Danio rerio: one gene and its partner. The protein of the gene in region 2 interacts with the protein of the main gene of each other region in a pairwise test. Links are inferred from orthologs where the notes say so. Each region holds a gene or a part of one and is shown on either strand. Other genes may lie near its edges.

The links.
Region 1: the proteins of esr1 (region 2) and med25 interact in a two-hybrid assay, tested with the Homo sapiens proteins (2 studies listed by BioGRID). The link is inferred for Danio rerio from reciprocal best matches to the Homo sapiens genes ESR1 and MED25.

What each region holds. Positions count from the first base shown.
Region 1 is NC_133178.1:29,272,047-29,277,743, reverse strand, and holds the start of med25 (mediator of RNA polymerase II transcription subunit 25), read left to right. Parts: upstream 1-2,234; 5' UTR 2,235-2,413; intron 2,414-2,809; 5' UTR 2,810-2,870; coding exon 2,871-2,995; intron 2,996-3,070; coding exon 3,071-3,116; intron 3,117-3,195; coding exon 3,196-3,320; intron 3,321-3,454; coding exon 3,455-3,553; intron 3,554-5,697. UniProt on the Homo sapiens protein: Component of the Mediator complex, a coactivator involved in the regulated transcription of nearly all RNA polymerase II-dependent genes.
Region 2 is NC_133195.1:29,073,240-29,077,981, forward strand, and holds the end of esr1 (estrogen receptor), read right to left. Parts: intron 3,834-4,742; coding exon 3,650-3,833; intron 2,854-3,649; coding exon 2,601-2,853; 3' UTR 1,052-2,600; downstream 1-1,051.

The DNA of each region.
Region 1 (5,697 bases), on a different chromosome or scaffold from region 2:
AATATTATTTTGATTATGAATTCCTTAAACTGAATCATGCCCATTTTGCTCCAGAAAACCCTTATATAATTATAAAAACAATACATGGTAATAAATAAAAAATAATTGGTAATAATAAATAAAAAAGGGTTTTTATTATTCCATAAAATAATAATGATTAGAATTATTTGATATTAATGATTACGTTTAAATAATATAATGTATTCCTTCCTAATGAATAATAAAAATAACAACAATCCTTCCTAACAATAACAACAATAATTGGTAATAATAAAAAAGTTTTTTTCTTAAAATAACAATGATTATTCATTCATTTTATTCATTCATTTTCTTGTCGGCTTAGTCCCTTTATTACTCCGGGGTCGCCACAGCGGAATGAACCGCCAACTTATCCAGCAAGTTTTTACACAGCGGATGCCCTTCCAGCCACAACCCATCTCTGGGAAACATTCACACACTTATTCACACACACACACACACACACACACACACACACACACACACTCATACACTATGGACAATTTAGCCTATCCAATTCACCTGTACTACATGTCTTTGGACTGTGGGGGAAACCGGAGCACCTGGAGGAAACCCACTCGAAGGCAGGGAGAACATGCAAACTCCACACAGAAACGCCAACTGAGCCGAGGTTCAAACCAGCAACCCAGCGACCTTCTTGCTGTGAGGCGACACTGCCTACTGCGCCACTGCCTCACCCATAACAATGATTATAATAATTATTATTACTGAATAAGTTTAAATGATGAATTTGTTTAATACTATTTTGAATATATTCTTTCAACCGAATCATGCTCATTTTATTTCATAAAGCTTTTAGATAATTATAAAAATAATAGCGGCGAAGCAGTGGCGCAGTAGGTAGTGCTGTTGCCTCACAGCAAGAAGGTCGCTGGTTTAACCCTCGGCTCAGTTGGCGTTTCTGTGTGGAGTTTGCATGTTCTCCCTGCGTTCGCGTGGGTTTCTTCCGGGTGCTCCGGTTTCCCCCACAGTCCAAAGACATGCGGTACAGGTGAATTGGGTAGGCTAAATTGTCCGTAGTGTGTGTGTGTGTGAATGTGTGTGTGTGTGGATCTTTCCAGAGATGGGTTGTGGCTGGAAGGGCATCTGCTGCATAAAAACTTGCTGGATAAGTTGGCGGTTCATTCCGCTGTGGCGACCCCAGATTAATAATGGGACTAAGCCGACAAGAAAATAAATGAATGAAAAATAATAATAACTAATCATGATAAGAATAATATTAATGATATACCAACAATAATAATAATTGGTAATAATAATTGTTGTTATTATTTTTATGCCTTAAAATAATAATAATAATTATAATTATTTACTATTATTGAAAACGTTTAAATAATGAATTTATTTAATATGATTTTGATTATAGGCCGATTCTTTAAACTGAATCATGCCCATTTTGCTTAAAAAACTTTTATATAATAATAATAATAATAATAATAATAATAAGAAGAAGATAACATGATAATAATAATAAGAAGAAGAAAAAGAAAAAGAATACATGATAATAATAATAATAAAAATGGTAATTCTAATTAATGATAATAGTTAATATTAATACCAACAACAATAATAAAGAAAATTGGTAACAATAAAAAAGTCTTGTTATTATTTCTTAAAATAATTATGGTCATTTTAGATAAGCCTTTAGATAATTACAATAATAATAATAATAGATAATAATGATAAGAATAATATCAATGATATATCACCAATAATAATAATTGGTAATAATAATTAATAATAATTGTATTTATTATTATGCCTTAAAATAATATTGATTATAATTATTTACCATCATTGAAAACATTTAAATAATTAATTTATTTAAGGCAATTTTAAATATATTCCTTAAAATGCCCATTTTGTTTCAGAAAACTTTTAAATAATAATAATAATAATTAATAACAATAATTTGTAATGATAATCATTGATAATAATAAAGATGATGCAATTTGTTATGATCATCGACGAAGCCACTTACTTTCTTAAGCTTTATTTTATTTTATTTTTTTATTATCTAACAATACAATGGCTATGTCCGTGTTTAAACCGCAAAAATAACAATGATTATAATAAGGATGATAATAACAAAGAATGACGACTGAAAAGGACGTCGCTGCTGTTGGTTTCTAAATTGATCATTCATAAATCGATTCACCAGCCCAGTCCACTTTCAAGATCTAAAACCAGACCGTACTGTCGATTGCCGAGCCAAAAATCCCGATGTTTGTTGTCATTACGCTCTACATTTACTTTCAGATGAAGCTTTAATACACAATAAAACTACCAGGGGCTGGTTCGGATATAATCAAGATAAATGACTGAACCGGTTTGTTTTATTCACAGTAAAAGCCAGTTCTACTAATTCTAGCAGGTAAGACACCCGAGCTAAATTAGCATTTGAGGTTAGCGGCTAGCATGCTAAGACCTGTATGAATGGATAGTGTTCACGTTTTACATTTTAATTTATTTGTATTGATATTGTGTTTTTAAGAATTTACTCGTTAATTAGGTAATGATAAGACAAATATATCACATCTAAAATAAGTCTCTTAGGCTTTTTGGCACGGACATAATGAATGATTCAGTTAAAAAAAATTGTTTATGTGTATTACTAACGTTAGGTATTAAGACAGCCAAATATGTATGTCTTGGTTTGGTTTACTTGCATTTAGAATGGAAATAATGTTAAAATAATAGCAAATAACACCAATATAAAGTCATTCATCAATAAAACATTATAAAACATTAATATTTCGTTTTATTCCAGCAAATCTTCTATATGAGTTTGATCTTATATCTGTGTTGGCTGTAGACCAAAGGTGACCCATATGGACCCCACGTCCAAATCTGGGTTGAATCAGGTGTCAGATGTGGTGTTTGTCATTGAAGGAACTGCAAACCTTGGTCCATATTTTGAATCACTTCGGAATAATTACATACTGCCTACTATAGAGTAAGATTTATGACATTCATTACAATACAGTACATTTGTTAGACACTTGAACTGACTTATTTAATATATTTACAGGTATTTTAATGGAGGACCACCGGCTGAAACTGATTTTGGAGGAGATGTGAGTTGGAGGAGTCTGTTTATACCTTCTCTTTACATTTCTGCCATCTCAATTCTGATGATCTTGTTTGTTTTATAAGTATGGTGGCACTCAGTATGGACTGGTGGTATTCAACACAGTGGATTGTGCTCCAGAGTCATATGTCCAGTGCCATGCTCCAACCAGCTCTGCCTTCGAGTTTGTGTCTTGGATTGACAGCATTCAGTAAGGAATCCCATTGTAATCCTATTTTATGTCAGGAAGTCTGGGATAAAGGTTTTAAGTGAATGTCTGCTTTAAAGATATTGTGATTGAAATACTGAGAACAGTTTTAACAGTTTTTTTTTGTTGTTGCACAGGTTCATGGGAGGTGGAGCAGAGAGCTGCAGTCTTATAGCTGAGGGTCTTTCTGTGGCCCTGCAGCTCTTTGACGACTTCAAAAAGATGAGGGAGCAAATGTGAGTTCTTGAACTTGTTCTATGAAATCACAAATCTGCTTTTGAGGGTTTAATCAGCTTGCTTAAGGTATTTTAAAATGACTTTTTTTGAAATGTAAATACAAGAAAAATCTTTGAACACAGCACTATTTATAAAGATTATCAGAACAGAAAGCAGTTGAAGGATGGTGTGTAATAATCAATTATTTGTCTGACTCCACCATAATTAATCAAACACTGTTAAAGTTATTAACATCACTGATAAAGAGAGATAATCTTAAAGCTGTAAAAGAAAGAACATTTCATGTTAAGTTACATGTTTTAATATACAGACAGTAGAATGAAATATATCAACATTATTAGGGCTGCACAATATTGAAAATATGAGACATTGCAATATTTTTTGTTTTCTGTAATATATATAGCGATAAGAGTACAATTTCACCAGGTGAATTGAATAGCTCTATTTAGAAAGATTTTATTCATTTAGATAATATGATGATCAGGTCTTTTTCTATGCACTGCATATACATAAATTATTTTATATATATTCAGATGGAAAAACCTCTGAGTGCCGTCTGAAATGTTTATCAAAAGTTTGAATTTTTTTTTTCAGCTTTCTTTGTTTATGTTGAGATATTTCACTTTAAAGACCAAGAAAAGGTCTTGTTCTTTGCCATAAAATTGGTATTACTGAACATACACACAGGAGCCTGATTAAAAATGCACATTTTAGAGGACAATTTCAGACAGTATTTAGAGGTTTTTGTTTCTAAACTCTTTGTGTGTGTGTGTGTATATATATATATATATATATACACACACACACACACACACACACACACACACACACACACACACACACACACACACACACACACACACAATAGAGCCAGAAAAAAAGTTAAATAAACCATACTTTGTAATTTTCTGGAAAGTTTAACAGTATTTCAGGTACAGAAATTGAACAATCAAGCATAAAATAACATGGTCATCATTTCAATAATTATTAAAAAATAATATTTAATAATTTATCTTTAACTCTTTAATAAATAATTTAATCCTGCAATTTGACTGTTGCGGACACACACACTGTGATATTGATGCTCAAACAATATGATATGCTACCCTAAACATAATGTATACAAAAAAGCTTAGTTTTGATTTTTGCTCTGCTATGCAGCAAAGACAGAGAACAACAGATACATTTCTAGGCATGAGTGAAATACCATTCCCCAAAACCAGCTGAAATGTGAGGAGATAAAGAGGGGGAGATGTAAATATGCATTATAAAGTATGCAATATTATCCTCGGGTCATAACTAAACATTAGTAGATTAATCATTCATTAGAAAACATCAAATGACACTTAATGTGACAGAATGACATAAAAGGAGATCACAAGTAGATAAATTGTGTTTGGTGGAAAGCAAAGTATTGGAGATGTGAGATGTGAAGGAACTCTACCTCACCCAGATGACTCATTCTGTGCTTAGAATGTCCCTATAGTCCTTTATTAGCAAAGAAGGGATCATAAGACTTACATAGTCGTGAATATCATATAGTTAAAAATATAATAGTTTATCAGTCTACATTAATTTGTGCAGAGTTCTTTCCAGTACAACAAAACTAATGACACTGCATTTTTAAGGGATGCCATCATCATGTGCACTACATTATCAGTAAAATGCTGAAGACTAGGGCTGTATAATATATCAAACTAAAATTGATATCAAAAAAAGTGATGTTCACATTAGGGCTGTATGATAATGGGAAAAACTGAAATTGCGATAATGTGTTTTTCTGTGATTATTCATTGATTTATAAGTACAACTGATACTTAAATAGCTCTTTTTTTTAAAGAGATTCTCATTGTAAGCGAGCGTATCTATCTTTAAAATATTATATAAAAATATAAGCATAGCTAAAAACCTCAGAGCAAAGTATACAAAGGGAAAAACAGTGCTTTATGGTTTTCTAGAGAGTCTAAAAGAGCCGGGTACATGAATTGAATAATCAACTGTTATTGTTAAACAACTAAAATGTATAGTTTTAAATGTGTAAATGTTATATTAAGTAATATTTTGGCAACAAAAGTTATAATTTCTTGTTCCTTAATGAATTAATTTCACTGAGTGAAAACTTTCATTCTAAGGTTAAACTTTG
Region 2 (4,742 bases):
TACCCTCGCAAACAACTTCGCTCGCTCTTTTCATCCCATGCTGCGCTACACCAATGGCCCACCTCCTGTATGAGATTTTACTGACTGACGCTTTTATACGTCCTGTAATTCACTGCAGGTCACAGAATGTGTTTCTGTCCACATGTCCAGGAACACATGTTCCTGTTCCTGTACAGTTACTGCTGCTAATTTCATTTTTCACTAAATGCGTACTATTGAACTCATTGCAATGTAGACTAGTGTTGGACAGTCAATCTGGTGAAGCTCTTCTGTACAAAGAAACGGAAGAGAAATAAATCATATATTATGTATTTAATAGCACTGACATACGCAAAAGGTACTGCACTTATACCGTCCACGAAAATGGCCAAAATTATTTGCTTAGACTAAGAAAAGTGTTAATTTTTTATTTTTTTATTATTTAAAACTGTAGAAAAAAATATTTTCATTGTTATTATTATTATTATTATTTAAATAAGATTTTGCATGGCAATTCAAATTTTTATTTTATGGCATGGATTTACTTTTTTTAAATCCCAAAATGTAAAACAGTAACTGATGTAGCTCCATGAGAGACGCGTGCTTTTATTACCGATATCTAATTATTGTATCTTAATTTGTGTGTTATGACAATGAAAATGTGACAAAACATTAATTATGATTACAATGTTTATGCCTATTTATGTATGTACAGTTTGCTAATGCTGACAATAAAGACAAATCTTTTCATTTAATATATATATGTATATATAAATTCTGCAAGTGTGCCTTTAAGTTTCTTTAAGATAATTATTATAATTTTTTTTAACTCCTGTGTAATTAATTGAGCTTCATGAACATTTTCACATTCAGGTCCTCCAAAATTAAAACGTTTGTACAAATGGTAACATTCAAGTATCCGATGTAAGAGCTGCTAAATACAATGTGCACACAAGACTAATGGATTATGACCAAACACATTGACGGATATGAAGCAAAATATGACAGTAGAATGTAAAGTAGAATCTAAGGCAGTCAGTGTGAGTTCCTGCATTAAAAGTGGACCACAGACTCATTTCAGACCTTCACAATGTTGAAATTGGGCTTTCTTTTCAAGCAGTAATCTGTTAAGATAGCAATAAAATCAACAATGACAGACAGCACTGTAACAAGAACAGCAATTAAAAAAATCATTTCATATTAACCAACAAGTAAACATTTTTGCACAAATAAGATGCAGCTATAATGTTACCACTGATCACTGAGCAGTTTTTCCCCATTAAATTACATATCAACGTTTAAAATAGAAGAGGGATTTAGATCCATAATATATCCCTGATTGCAATGAAAAGACTCACTTCATTAACATAAAGCCCCTTTTACAAGTAATCAGGTTTTTCCCCGTTTGTTCTAAGAGTAACTTTTCTCCTGGGCTGTTTTCTGTCTGTTCACACTTTATATCGCAGAGCTCATGTTATTTTAGATAAAAAGCTTATTAACATGAAAAACTGTCATTTAATAGCAACGTCCGTAATCTGTTTAGGGAATTGTGTGTAAACAGGATCTTTAAAAAAAAAAAAAGAAAGAAAAGCAAAACAGGCTAATATTTTAACAAATTAAGAATTCAATAAAAATAAGTAAAAGCAAAAAACAAACAAAAAATATTTAAGCATGTCAGTAATAATACTGGACCAATCATAAAATTCAGTCAGAGCGCTTTAATTTATGCCTTTCTTGATCAGGGTGGGGCCAAGTAGGAGCGCTCACTCTGATCCCCCGATCTCTGCCAAAGTTGTGGAAATTCCAAATTGAACTAAAAACGAAACATTACAATTGGCTTAAGATTGGCAAGAAAAAGTTGGCACATGCATCAACTAGAAGAACTTGAGTAGTTAAAAAAACAATTATCCCTTCATTCATTCTTTTTTTTTCTTTTTTTGCAATGCAAACATAAGCTATACTATAAAGAATGTAGATGAGGAAATCAGAGCAGCGTTTAAACTTAATTTACTTGTTTTTTGGTAGCCTACTGTGTGGATGTGGAACTTTTTCATTTCTGCATTCAACATTTAAAAGTTGGAAATTTCATTTTCAGATCTGTTTCTTAAAACTTTGTAATATCTGGTCATAAATGGATAATTACTATTGCATTAACATTATTTATGACAATAAAATACTCTAAAAATACAAAATACTATTTTAACACTAATATACTATTATAATATATTAATTTATTGAAAATTAAATCAGTATTTTTTGACTGCCATATGATCAGTATGAGAGCTTTAAGTGAGTTTGTGATGTCAAACGGTCACAAATTGTAAAAGAATAAAAGATGAATTAGCATCTCTCTCTGTTTCTCTCAAGTGTATGGGAAAAACAAATTCCTGTAATCAGCTTCCACAAAAACCGAGCGAAATCAACCGTAAATAGATCCTCAATATATAGTGTTTGGGAGGCTTATTCTTATTTACAGACTTTTTTTTCTATAAACAAATTCTCTTTCGAATGTCTCGGTTTCAATAGTAGACTCTCGTAAGGCACAAGAAGAGACTGAAGTCCTAGTCCTCATTTCTGCTCTTCAAATTGTGTATAATGTGTATATGGTGGCAGTGCACAGGTCAGGGGTCAGGGCTATGGCTGTGACAGGCGCCGTTGGACTGAATGGCTGCAGCTCCTCCTCTTGGACTGTTGTTGCTGCTGCTGCTGCTGGTTGTGGGTGTGGATGGAGGGTTTTTCTCGCTCTGAGACCACACTCGCTGCACCTTCCCTGAAGACTGGAACCGCTGAGCGTCCAGCATCTCCAGCAACAGGTCATACAGCGGCACTCGATTCTTACATTTCATTCGGTATAAGTGCTCCATTCCTTTGTTGCTTTCAAAAAAGAATGCAGATATAGAGTGTGTGTGACTGTAATGTATGCTGTAATAATTCAGCAACAATATCGCCATTTAATTGTTCTTTATGAAGACAAGAAAGTCCAATTTAAAGGGTAAACCTTTTCCAACCAAAAAAGTAATAGTTTTTTATTATTTATTAATGGATTAATAAAGGGTTATTGGATAGTGTATCATAATGTGTAATGAAATACATTTTAGTAGATTTTTTTAATGAAGGTAATAATAAAGGCAGGATTAAAGACAATATTATAAAGGATTTACTTGATCTATTCTACCTTTTAATTTTAACACACACACACACACACACACACACACACACATATATATATTGTAATACCAACACTTTTATCTATTCTCTTTTTACTATATAACATTTCTGTATATATTTATATACAGTCAAGTATAAAATTATTCAAAGCCCTGGGGTATTTTGTTTGATTATTTCTATTGTTCTCAGTAACATTGCTCTTGCTTTGGATATAAGCAATACAAAACAAATATTTTATATTCTATTGTCTAAAAATTATGTTTTTTTTTGTTAATTAGGTTAGTTCTGTGTCGATTGATCTATCATAAATTCCAGTATGCTGATTTGGTGCATTTTGTTGTCTTATTAATATTATATTATTTGTATTATGATGGTCGAATACAGTATTTATTAGAAGAAAGAAAACATCTGAAATGTTACTGAACATTTTTCAATGGTCCTTTATCTGGTTTCTGATGTTAGTAGTGTAAATTTAGTTATGTGTGTGTGACTCTCAATGTACCTCATGTGTCTGATGTGTGAGAGCAGCAGCAGGAGCTGGGCCTGGCGACGGGACTGCAGCTGCAGCGACGCTCCTGATTTACTGATGCAGTAAATGAGGGCATCAGTGATGTTGTCCAGCATGCACTGCACCATGAAGTTGTCCATCAGCGGCTCCACTGGACTGGAGCAGAATGAAAATGCACCTGACCAGACAGAAAAGGTAGCCATTACAACACTACACATTAACCTTTGATTTTGTTCACATTTTGGCACAATTGTTATGTAGTGCGTGAGACTGACACTTGATGGACTGATAAATCACCAAAGAGAAAAAAAAACACAAAAAGTGAAGCTTTAACAATAATATTTATCACCGATTCTGAAAAAGATTTTATATGTACAATTAAAGTTAGAATTATTAGCCCCACGTTGATTTATTTTTCCTTTTTAAATTTTTCTCAAATGATGTTTAACAGAGCTGGGAAATTTTCACAGTATGTCTCATAATATTTTTTCTTTTGGAGAAAATCTTATTTGTTTTATTTCGGCTAGAATAAAAGCAGTTTTTGTTTTTTTATAAACCATTTTAAGGTCAAAATTATTAGCCTCTTTAAGCTATTTTTTTTTTTTTTTTTTTTTGGCTGTCCTCAGAACAAACCATCGATATACAATAACTTGCCTAATTACTCTAACCTGCCTAGTTAACTTAATTGACCTAGTTAAGCCTTTATATGTCACTTTAAGCTGTATAGAAGTGTCTTGAAAATTATCTAGTCAAATATTATTTACTGTCATCATGGCAAAGATAAAATAAATCAGTTATTAGAATTAAGTTAAAACTATTCTGTTCAGAAATTGGGTAAAAATAAACAGGGGGCTAATAATTCTGTTTTGAACTGTATAGAAATCTGTTGATTTAGTTTGATTGTTTTACAAGAATTTACACTATTGAGAGCTGTGAAAAAAGAGTCTGAAAAGACTGAAAAGGTGTTTTTTTTAATGTTTAAATGACTATAGCATGGTGGTAGCAATGTTAAAATTCATTTAAATGTTCATGCATAAACTAAAAATGTACTCCATAAACACACATGAAATCACTTTGGATCATTTCT